2 linked regions of the Macaca mulatta genome follow. The protein of the gene in region 1 purifies or fractionates together with the protein of each later gene. This does not show direct contact. Links are inferred from orthologs where the notes say so. Each region holds a gene or a part of one and is shown on either strand. Other genes may lie near its edges.

The links.
Region 2: the proteins of TUBA1A (region 1) and IRS4 purify together in Homo sapiens (affinity purification with mass spectrometry; 3 studies listed by BioGRID and IntAct, with this or other methods). This does not show direct contact. The link is inferred for Macaca mulatta from reciprocal best matches to the Homo sapiens genes TUBA1A and IRS4.

The regions. Positions count from the first base shown.
Region 1 is NC_133416.1:56,350,652-56,356,372, reverse strand, and holds the start of TUBA1A (tubulin alpha-1A chain), read left to right. Parts: upstream 1-2,035; 5' UTR 2,036-2,125; coding exon 2,126-2,128; exon of another isoform or gene 2,129-2,684; coding exon of another isoform or gene 2,685-2,687; intron 2,688-4,332; coding exon 4,333-4,555; intron 4,556-4,677; coding exon 4,678-4,826; intron 4,827-5,141; coding exon 5,142-5,721. UniProt on the Homo sapiens protein: Tubulin is the major constituent of microtubules, a cylinder consisting of laterally associated linear protofilaments composed of alpha- and beta-tubulin heterodimers.
Region 2 is NC_133426.1:115,539,170-115,545,027, reverse strand, and holds the start of IRS4 (insulin receptor substrate 4), read left to right. Parts: upstream 1-2,152; 5' UTR 2,153-5,575; coding exon 5,576-5,858. UniProt on the Homo sapiens protein: Acts as an interface between multiple growth factor receptors possessing tyrosine kinase activity, such as insulin receptor, IGF1R and FGFR1, and a complex network of intracellular signaling molecules containing SH2 domains.

The DNA.
Region 1 (5,721 bases):
TATATTGTAAAGAAAATAATATTCAAAGCTCTGCTTCTCATTCCAAAAAGACTTGTACATGTTGCTATGGTCCAATAGTGTCTGATATATTTTATGATTAAAATTGTGAAAGTATTTTGAATGAGCTACTTATTAATCCTTAGGCTTCCTTATGCCATTTAATTCTTATTTTTGTTAAATATATTTCTGGGTTCTGAAAGAAGCATTCAAATACCTAATCCTCCTGTCTCTTCTGAAATATGCTTTCTTTGTTTTTTTTTTTTTTTTTTTTTTTGCTAAAGAGGTGGAAATAAGATGATGTTGAATATTATTTTTTCCTAGGAAATATGTTACAAGTAGATAAAATGATTTTTGCATTTTGGATATTATTTTTTTTCCAGAAAATATTACTGAAGCAAAATTGAACAAGTAAAGCAGAACTGTGGATGGCAGGCTAGAAAAATTCGTGGTCGCCATTGTCACACCACAACCTGCAGCAGCTGTATTCTCAAGTCCCTCCCTCCCACGCCCTGCTCAGCCTGCCAGCCTGGCAGGAATGAATGGGCTCCGCAGAGTGCTGTGTGAGTAGTTGCTGCCCACCCTGAAAATCTGCCGCTGAAAACCAAAAGGAAAAATTATTTGTAAAAAATAAATTTCCAACTTTAGTGGCCAAACTTACTTACCTCTGAAATTTCATCACCAACATCCAGTGGTACGAAATCCAGTGACTCACTCTGCATAGCCCATCGTTGCTGAGAATGGAGCCTTTCTAAATAGCAAGACAATGTTACTCCAATTTATTTCCTAGGGGTGAAAGCAAAGCCTTTTTGTCCCAAGGGGCAACTGAGCAACCACCAGAGTCTCTAGTTGAATAGCAAGGGTGTGAGGCTGGCTAAAATTCCCACAGTCAGAAGCCCACTCGCAGGAGGATATTTACCAAATTGACATAAGAACTGCATAAAAAGTAAATGCAGTTATTGAGCTGATGTTTCACAGTTGTCTGTAGATGGAGGCAACATTGCAAAATAGTCTTCTTTTTACATTATATTATTCTCTTCTTCTTTTTAATTTGGTGTCTTGGTTATTACTATTATTTTGCTTGTTACTTTCCAGACAAAAGTCCAGTGCAGATATGTAACTGCACACATGTAGTACTAACTTCTGAGCTCAATTATTTCTCCTTGTATTTTCCCAATTTTATATCAGGAAAGATGATTCATTCCAAAGGACAATGCACCACACAAAATGTGTTACATAGACTTCTCATAAAGGAATACCTCTAGTAAACTATTATAACTACTCTACGTGCACTTGCTGTTGATTATTGCCATGTTAGAACTATTTGTTCGCTTCTTTATTTAGTATGGTTATTATTTCCATCTTCCAGTTTTATTTAGCTATTCGAGTGTGCATGTGCCTGCAAAAGAAGCTCTGAAAATAAGTTAGTTGAACCTGAGAAGCCATTTTGAATGACTGTATGACTAAATGTTTTTTTTAAATTAAAAAAAATCACAATTACCCAGACCGTTTTGAGCATTACGCCCATTTTCTCTCCCACTTTATTTTTAAAGCAATTAGAGATATTGAACCCTAACAAAATGTAGTCGAGTTTAATATACTGCGAGGGAGGGGCTGGCAGTAATTTTCCTTTAAATATTTAATCTGAACATAAATCTGTTATTAAGGGTAGGGGGAAAAAACCTCACATAGATAATTTTAACTGCATTTTGGGGTTTAAGCAACATAAAGTCTTCCAACCCCAGTCCCCTTTCTTCTTCCGCCCCTCCCCGACCCCACCCCATAATGGATGCTCGGCAGAATGCTTCTGCACGGTCTCTTTGTCTAAAGGATGCAAACAGTCTACGGATGCTAGAGAAAAAGGGGTGGGGGAGAGATTACCTCATCCCACGTCGTTTGCACCAATCACCAGTCTCCTGTCCTGGCTTCTCTGGGCAGATTGGGGGTCTGGACCAACAGGAACAGGCCCCGGCCCATCCCCATGGTGACCGAGTTGTATATATGGAGCCGCATCCGCCCATGTGCCGCAGGTTCTCTTACATCGACCGCCTAAGAGTCGCGCTGTAAGAAGCAACAACCTTCTCCTCCTTGTCTCCGCCATCTGCTCTGCAGTCGCGAAGCAGCAACCATGGTGAGAATCGGCTTTGGCTCTTTGTGGCCGTTGGGTGGAGTCAGCGCCCCCAGGCTCTGCTTGGAAAATCTTTAAGCTCTTTTCTTTCGTAAGCTCTCTGGGCGAGGGTGGTGGTGTGTTTTGTGAGGTTTAGCTTTACCCCAAATCCTCCAGCTCCGCCGCCGCCGCAGTGCGGGTGCAGGAACCCGGCCAGGACTGCGCCCAGGGCGCTGCAGAGCGCTGGGGAGGAACAAAGGCGGCGCCTGGGCGCCTGTGTTGTCCTACAGCCTTTCGGGGTCGCGGGCAGCCCGTCTGCCGCAACCGAGGGGTCTCGGGCGTCCCGGCTGGGTCCAGTGTCTGTGCGCACGGTTTCGCAGACGCCGAGGGGCCCCTTTCTGTCTCGCCTCGTTCTCTGGGGACCGGGAGAGGAGGAGGCACCCAAAAAGAGCGGGGGCGTTGGGCGAGCTGGGGGATGTGGGAGGGGGAACGGGAACAAAGCGCAGCCTGGGGTTAGCGTGGGAAGACCCCTCGCGGTCGTTGGCGTTTTGGAAAGATAACCACACATTCCCGGGGAAACATGGTGAGTTTCTACTGGAGCCCCCGGCAGCGGGTGTCAGGGCGGCGCAGGGGCGGGGTTGTTTGTTTCTGGCTTCTATGGCGTTGGAGCCACTGGGCGGGGTTCGCCCTCACTAAACCTCCTCTGTCAGGAGCTGACTTAAAAAAAACTTTTCATCATTGCGGAACTGTAGGCTCCAAAAGGGTTTTCTTCGCTATTATAATTAAGATGACCTTTTTTTTTTTCTCTTGAGCAAAATCACAATTCACTTGACAAACTCTTTAATGTCTGGTCTGGGGACGCCCTGCCCTGACCGACTGAAGTGTGTGTGTGTGTGTGTGTGTGTGTGTGTGCGTGCGTGCTGCTCGTTCAGCGAGGGAGAAAGCCTACTTTGTGAGCCCCAGGGTACCCTGATGGTCGTGTGTGTGTGTGTGTGTGTGTGTGTGTGTGTGTGTGTGTGCGCGCGCTGCTCGTTCAGCGAGGGAGAAAGCCCACTTTGTGAGCCCCAGGGTACCCTGATGGTCAGGACCAGGGAAACGCCCTTCCCCGCCGCCCCCCTCCGCCCCGCCCCCACCACATCAGCGAATAGACAATGAAAGTGGTAGCCCTAAAGACCACAGAGAAGAAAACCTCTATTGGATGCAAAGAATATGAATATTATGTGGTGGGTAGAGAATCTCAGGATTAAAATACTATTTTGTTGTTTTAAATAAATATTTCACTATCGTTCCACTGGGCTTTTATTCTTTGTTTGCTACCTTTTCATGTGATGCTTGTTTCTAACTTAGGAACGTGTGTGTGTGTGTGTGTGTGTGTGTGTGTGTGTGTTTTAAGATACGGATAATTTTTCAGCTTTTACAGTGGAGAAGATCTGGAAAAACCTTTTTCTTTAAAAAAAGGAATGAAATTGCTACAGACAAAGAATTATACTCCGCATCCCGTTGTCTTTTGTTCTAGTGCATCTTCATTAATTCATTTCAATTCAGGCACATGGTCCCGGGCGGGGTCAGAGGAGGAAAACTGGCAAAACAGCACAATGAGATCATGTAGGCAGTTGCTGGAAATAGAGCTTGCTCTGTTAAATAATGTAGCAGACAGTACAGGCTAGCACCAGGCACAGCAAATACAGCAATGCAGCAATGCAGAAGGCAGAAGCAGACCTTGTCTAAACCCCTTGTATTGATGGATTCTGCAGACAGACTGCAGAAGGGTGTGGCTTCTTGCCTCAGCTGCAGTACAGATGTCCATGTTATAATATCAAGTCAGTCCTATTCAGAAGAAACTTTCTTCTTTATTTAAAAGGGAAGAAAGCAGTAAAATTAATCCCAATTATGTCATAATTGAATTTACTTCATTTTACAAAATTTGTGCTTTGAATACTGAATACTTTTTAAATATGAAAAGTCTTTTATTCAAGCATGGTAGTAGGCACAATGGGCTGGTACCATGTGCTGAACAGGGCCAAGGCGACATCATTATTCAGACCACACCCATATGCAGCATTTGCAGCAGGTCATTTTCCTTAATCTTTGTATCGTGCTAGGGATGTGACCTCAAATAATTTTGAAAAATATCTGTATATTATTAGAAATATTTTTAAAAGTTTACTAAAAGTTTGAAATGCTAATACGCCTTAATTTTACAATTTTTTCACTTTTCCTTCCCACAGCGTGAGTGCATCTCCATCCATGTTGGCCAGGCTGGTGTCCAGATTGGCAATGCCTGCTGGGAGCTCTACTGCCTGGAACACGGCATCCAGCCCGATGGTCAGATGCCAAGTGACAAGACCATTGGGGGAGGAGATGATTCCTTCAACACCTTCTTCAGTGAGACGGGCGCTGGCAAGCATGTGCCCCGGGCCGTGTTTGTAGACTTGGAACCCACGGTCATTGGTGAGTTGACCTCAGTAACCCAAGTGAGATCCCAGGATGCTGGGACAGGAGGTCTGTCCTGGGGGGCTCCGCTAGTCACCCACTCACCCACTCCCTCCATCCTTCTCTCCCTCCTTCTCCAGATGAAGTTCGCACTGGCACCTACCGCCAGCTCTTCCACCCTGAGCAGCTCATCACAGGCAAGGAAGATGCTGCCAATAACTATGCCCGAGGGCACTACACCATTGGCAAGGAGATCATTGACCTTGTGTTGGACCGAATTCGTAAGCTGGTATGTTTCTTTTCAAGAATAAAGTAAATTAATGAGCCTAAAGAACACATTTGAAATACTGCTTTTTTTTTTTCAAACAGAATTGAACTGTTATTTTAATAAAGAGTGGAATGAGTCGTTCTTGTGGGGTTTTTATCAGTTAAAATGAACTATTTGGTATCATTTTGTAAATGTTAATGAGAATTTTTTAAAAAGCATTTGTCAAAATAAGATCTAAATCCTGGGAGATGTATGAAAAGTGAAAATATATTTCCTATGATTGTACTACAAAGAACAAAAACTTAACCTTTCCTCTGTTTCTCTCTTTTGTAATAGGCTGACCAGTGCACCGGTCTTCAGGGCTTCTTGGTTTTCCACAGCTTTGGTGGGGGAACTGGTTCTGGGTTCACCTCCCTGCTCATGGAACGTCTCTCAGTTGATTATGGCAAGAAGTCCAAGCTGGAGTTCTCCATTTACCCAGCGCCCCAGGTTTCCACAGCTGTAGTTGAGCCCTACAACTCCATCCTCACCACCCACACCACCCTGGAGCACTCTGATTGTGCCTTCATGGTAGACAATGAGGCCATCTATGACATCTGTCGTAGAAACCTTGATATTGAGCGTCCAACCTATACTAACCTGAATAGGTTAATAGGTCAAATTGTGTCCTCCATCACTGCTTCCCTGAGATTTGATGGAGCCCTGAATGTTGACCTGACAGAATTCCAGACCAACCTGGTGCCCTACCCCCGCATCCACTTCCCTCTGGCCACATACGCCCCTGTCATCTCTGCTGAGAAAGCCTACCATGAACAGCTTTCTGTAGCAGAGATCACCAATGCTTGCTTTGAGCCAGCCAACCAGATGGTGAAATGTGACCCTCGCCATGGTAAATACATGGCTTGCTGCCTGTTGT
Region 2 (5,858 bases), on another chromosome or scaffold:
TTTTCACACTAAGAAAAATGCTGCTATATGATATTAATAAGGAAGAACATAGCATTAAGCTAAATTTTCTATTGTTGATTTATATTAGCATAGAGAACATATATGATGTTAAATCATTGAAATTTATGTGAAACCTAGCAGACCTCATTGTTCTGATGTTTATCTTACTTAGTAAAAGTTATTTCCAAATGAAACTTTTATCTTTTGAAGATGGGAAGAAATGCTTGATTTTTAACTAAGTTAATTTTAAGTTGACTCTTAAGATAACAGGAAAGCTTTAGGAGCCTAATTAAACCACGTATTTGCTCTAATTACTTTCGCTGGAGACTGCTAGGAAACAAAGGCAGCAAACAGACCTGTTCTGTGTGCAGCAGTCAGGCATTTGATGCTTGTTTTCTCCAGCAGAGGTTTTGAGTAGCACAGAAGTAAAGCTGAGAAGCAAAGCCATCATCTGCAAACAGTGGCTGCAGCCACAAATCACAGGGCAGCCCTTATTCCTGCATAGTGTAGAAAGCATCTTTCACTCTACGTGATTTATGTCCCAACACAGAGAAGCAATCGTCATCACTAACATGATTTTTTAATATCAAGGGTAGCACCACATTTTTATCAACATAATTGGACGTTAGCTCATGAAGCTTATAGAGTTAACACTTACAAGATAATTTATACATGGGGCAAGAATAATAGTTCTTTTATACTGGTTACTTTTCCTCTTAGGTTTTATTCTCTTGAATAATGTAATCCATATTTAATACAACAGCTTAATTTTTAAACTAAATAAATCCACACTTCAATTACCCATTTTTAGTACAAGTTGAGTTTAGAACATTCATGATCATGTATGTAAGAAAAGAAGCAGATGAATTTTTTGTTATCACTGACAAGTCAATTCAGACAACTGCTTTCTTAAAACAGGATTCACAGGAAATTCCTTTTAAAAGCACACATCATTAAAGGCATATATTTCTTCATTAGCTGGAATCGGTGTTAAAGATATTGTGGCTATTTATCCATTTACATTAGTTTATAGGCGTAAAATGCCAGTTACAATGCTTCTGTTTTTTATCCCTTGAGTTGAATTGGCAAACTGAAACAAGAACTCTTTTTTAAGTCTTATTATTTATTATCTGTTGTTTTAAAAATCTGTATTTCAGACTCTTTGTGCAGATTCCAAACTTTACAGTTGTAATAAATGAATATGCAAGGCAACTTTAGCCTTCTGGGATAAACTGTCCTACAATAAAAACAAAAACCAAAAAAAAAAAAATAAGAGACAGGAATCTATAACCAAAAGAGGCTAGAGCATTAAAGCCACCATCTGGTGAGTTCAAGCCAAATAAAAATTCTCTATATTTTGCCTAAACCATCTAGATATCTGTTTTACTTTGCCTATGAGAATCTGACCTAAACTAAATGACTATTCTATATCATTAAGTTGTCCAGGAAAATGAAAATTTAAATATATGTCCGACAAGCTCTAGCATCTGGTACAATTCAGTAATGCTGGTCTGCTCTACAGAGCTTCAGTGTTGAGATAACATTAGGACTGAGAAGGCTTGGTTGACCTATAGGAAGAAAATAATGTTCTAGTCAGACATTCTCCCTGTTTACAAGCACTCATGCTTGCCAGATTATCTTCCACTGTAGGAAATATACAAAGTAAAATTCCTCTGTGAAGCATCTCACTATAGCTCTAATTCCACTTTGCTGCAGCCAAATAATATACCCTTGGTACAAAATGATCAGCACTGTTCATCTTTCACTGTAATAGTTTAGAAATTATTTTCACACTTTTTTTTTAACACATTGATTAATGCTTGATATTTCCCCTTAAAATAGAAAATGTCTCATAAAGTATTATTTCAGAGTGATAAAATTTAACTAGTTTAGATGCTCTCTTATAATTTGTTGACAAGAGAAGAAACATTTCTCCTTTTAAAAGAGCATATAAGCTGAAATATATGAGATCTTTTAAAAGAAGTTTAAAAGTGACCATGGTGACATTTGTATCAACAGCTCCCTTTCAAACTGTGTTACAAACCACATTGTGCCAAATTTACATATCTTTCAAAACAGAAGAGAATCAGGTTAAATGTGATTTTTAAAGTCAACAGAGTAGGAAAAAAAAAACTTGCAACAAATACCACAGAGTTTTAATGTATTTATTATGTAAACAAGTTAAACATAAGAAGAAAATACTAAGAATACAATAGACAACACAAAGAACACATTATAGGAAATAATACAATGTCAGTAAATATATATAAATGTTTCATCTCACTAGTAAAAAAAAAAAAAAAAAAAATGCACATTGAAAGAATAGTGCAGGCCGGGCACGGTGGCTCAGGCCTGTAATCCCAGCACTTTGGGAGGCTGAGGCAGGTGGATCACGAGGTCAGGAGTTCGAGACCAGTCTGGCCAACATGGTGAAAACCCTTCTCTACTAAAAATACAAAAAGTAGCTGAGCATGGTGGTGGGCACCTGTAATCCCAGCTACTTGGGAGGCTGAGGCAGGAGAATTGCTTGAACCCAGGAGGCCGAGGTTGCAGTGAGCTGAGATCATGCCATTGCACTTCAGCCTGGGTGATAGGATAAGACTCCATCTCAAAAAAAAAAAAAAAAAAAAAAGAATAGTGGAATACCATTTCACTCATCTTATCTCTGATTTTTTAAAAATAAGAATGTCCAAAGTGACAATCAGTCTGGTGACAGTGTAAACTAATATGATATTTTTGAAAAATAATGTATTAAATATTCATATCTTTTAGCCTACTAATTCCAGTGCTCAGTTTTTACCCAATGGGAATTTTAAAAGGCTGTAGATACAAGATATTCATTGACATGTTATTTATAATACTGAAAAAAATGAAAACAAATGCCCCAAAGTAGATGATTAATTACATTAATATACATTAATTGTGTTGGATAACATGTTGCTTTTAAATGATATTTAGGCTGATGCATAATAATATGGGAAAATATTGTATAATGTTAAGTGAAAAGAACAGGATGCAAAATTATATAAATTGTAAGCCTACTGCTCTTTGTAAAAACTCTATATGTACAGGAAAAAGGACATGAGGATTAAAAAATCTCCAGTATTTTCCCATTTGTTTTAATATTCATTTTGATATTTTCAATGTCATGTTATTAGTCAAAGCACTTTCAAATATGTTGCCTTATTTGTCACATTTCTCTTTAAAAAAAAAAAAGAGAAGAACCTTGTGCTTGGAAAGACTTATAAAATATCCTAATGACTATCAAACAAAATCCCAAATGAGAGCATTTGTTATCATTTTGGTTATAAATGCAGGGAATCTTGTATGTATGTGACTACGCAGCTGAAATATGTAACAGTCACAGACAGGGCTCTCAGCATCCACTCTGGTTCTGCCTCTAGCTCCCTTCCGAAACCACGGCTGCTTCCGGCACCTGTGAATATATTGCACTTATAAACCATTTGCAGCAGAGGGAATGTTATTGAATGTTTGTAATATCTGGGGGACAACCAAAACCAATTTTTCTTTCTCTTAAATTATAGCATCAAAAAGGAGCCATTTATTCAAATACGTGTGTTCTGTTTCTAACAGAGAGCAAATTCTTAAGAGGGCAGAGATACGGTTTATTTTTATGATATACACATTGCCTAGTTTACTGTGGGATTTTATAAAATAGTACCCTTTGCCGTATCAACCCTAGAGCAAGGGTGAACTGACATTCCATTCTTTCAGAGAGAAATGCTGTTATTTCCTCCTGTCCCTCCATTCCTCTTTGCAAACGTGGTCACTCCTTTGATAATTCACGACCCATCTCCACCATTAAGAGTCTGAAATCCTAGTCAAGGAATAACTGGGGTGGTGGGGGAGAGAGGGAGAGGAGTCTAAAATTCTAGTCAAGAAATAACTGGGGTGGTGAGGGAGAGAGGGGGGCGGGGGGGAGAGAGAGAGAGAGAGAGAAAGGGGGAGAGAGAGAGAGAGAGAGACTTCAGGAGGTTGCACTTACACTCTGGCAGTTTTTCCAGAAATTAGGGAGGCAGCAGCTCTTACTTTTGTGATGTCAACTTGTAGACTGAAATGCATCAAAGCTCCTCACCTTCTTCTTGTTGACGCGAGGGATGTGAAATGCGCTCTAGAATATGCATTCAGCGTGGTCCTTTGTTCTAGGTATGAGCTTTTCTTTTTCTAAAGTTTTTCGGTCTCGCTCAAGGAAAGGAAAGCAATATTTTGAGATTCTTTTAAAGGCACCTTCCAAAGCATTTCCCACAGAAAAATACCTCACAGCCCAACACTGGTTATTTCAGTAAGAATCGAGTCCAATCTTTTCCAATATGGCTGTATACATTGCAGGCCCCCAAATTTGTGCTTTCGTAGTCATCGTTAATCAAATAGGCAGAAACACTGTATTTAGGGAACCTGTGTTTCGTGGGCTAGAAGTGCATTCTGATTAATAAAGATCATGTTCATTTTGAATTCATCGTGGTTATTCGTGTGCCTTAGAGTCGCGGGCTTCGTCAGGGGTGGAGCGGGCTCGGGAGTGCCTGCAGCGCGGTGGGAAGCGGGTCTGAGCGCCCGGGTCATCAACCCGCTTTCAAGGGGTGCCGACACTTTTTCCCAAGAAGCTCGACCAGCCGCCGTGAGCGACTGGAAAGAATAAACCAGACTGTGACAGGAACAGAGAATTTATGTGATTGACAGGGAATACCAGGGCACCCGACTCCGTCCCGGGTCACCATGGCTCTGGGATTTGCACGAGTTTACCACCACCATTAACAGCTATTTGCGTAAGGTTGTTTACCGCCTGAGAGCGCCACAAGCCGACAGCGAAGCCACTTTGGGACCCCAGCCACGCCCCCTCTCCCCTCTCACCCCTCCCTCCCGCCAAACTAATGAATTCGGGACTGCCTTCTTGCCGGACCCTCCCATTGGCTCCTATTCCAGCCAATCAGAGCCTTGCAACAGTTTCACCTGGCTCCCGCTTCCCAAATAAACAAACAAACCGTCCGGCGACTGTGCGGGCTCTGCACCCCGGCGCCGCCGGCACTGCTTGCGCTCCGCGCCCCCCCAACCACCTCCCACCAATGGGGCCCCGACTGTGGCGCCCTCTCCCAGCCCTGATAGCCGGCCGCTTTCTCCTCTGCACCTCCAGGCCTTCTCCCGCCCGCTCATGCCTTCCTCGACTCCGGGGTAGAATCTGCTTGGCCAGAGAGCCCCGCCTCCTCCTCTTAGTCCTCTCTTGGCCCACAGGCCTGGAGATTCACCGGGAGGGTGTTGGCACAGCTGGAGGTGGCTCCGCCTCCCAAGCCCGCCGCCTCCTCCCTTGCACACCTCTACTGGTGGCCGCTCGCGCCCCTCCATTGCGCCGGTAGCAGGATCCGCAGCGGCCGCCGCGTGAGGCTTCGGTCACGTGTTGTTTTGCCCGCTGTCGTGCGCTTAGAGTGGAGTGGGCGGGGGCGCGGGCCAAGGCAGGAGGGGGCTGGGGCGGGCAAACGGGGGTAGACAGCCTCTTCCCTCAACCCTCCCTTTCCTGAATTCCCCCTCCTCCTCGCTCACCTTAAAACCATCGTGCATCACCATGGCGAGTTGCTCCTTCACTCGCGACCAAGCGACAAGAAGACTAAGAGGTGCAGCAGCGGCAGCAGCGGCAGCTCTAGCAGCAGTGGTGACCACCCCGCTTCTTTCCTCGGGAACCCCGACCGCACTCATTGGGACCGGGTCGTCTTGTCCGGGAGCCATGTGGCTCTCCACGGCCACTGGCTCCCGGTCAGACTCCGAGTCCGACGAGGAGGACCTCCCCGTCGGGGAGGAAGTCTGCAAACGCGGCTACCTGCGGAAACAGAAGCATGGGCACAGGCGCT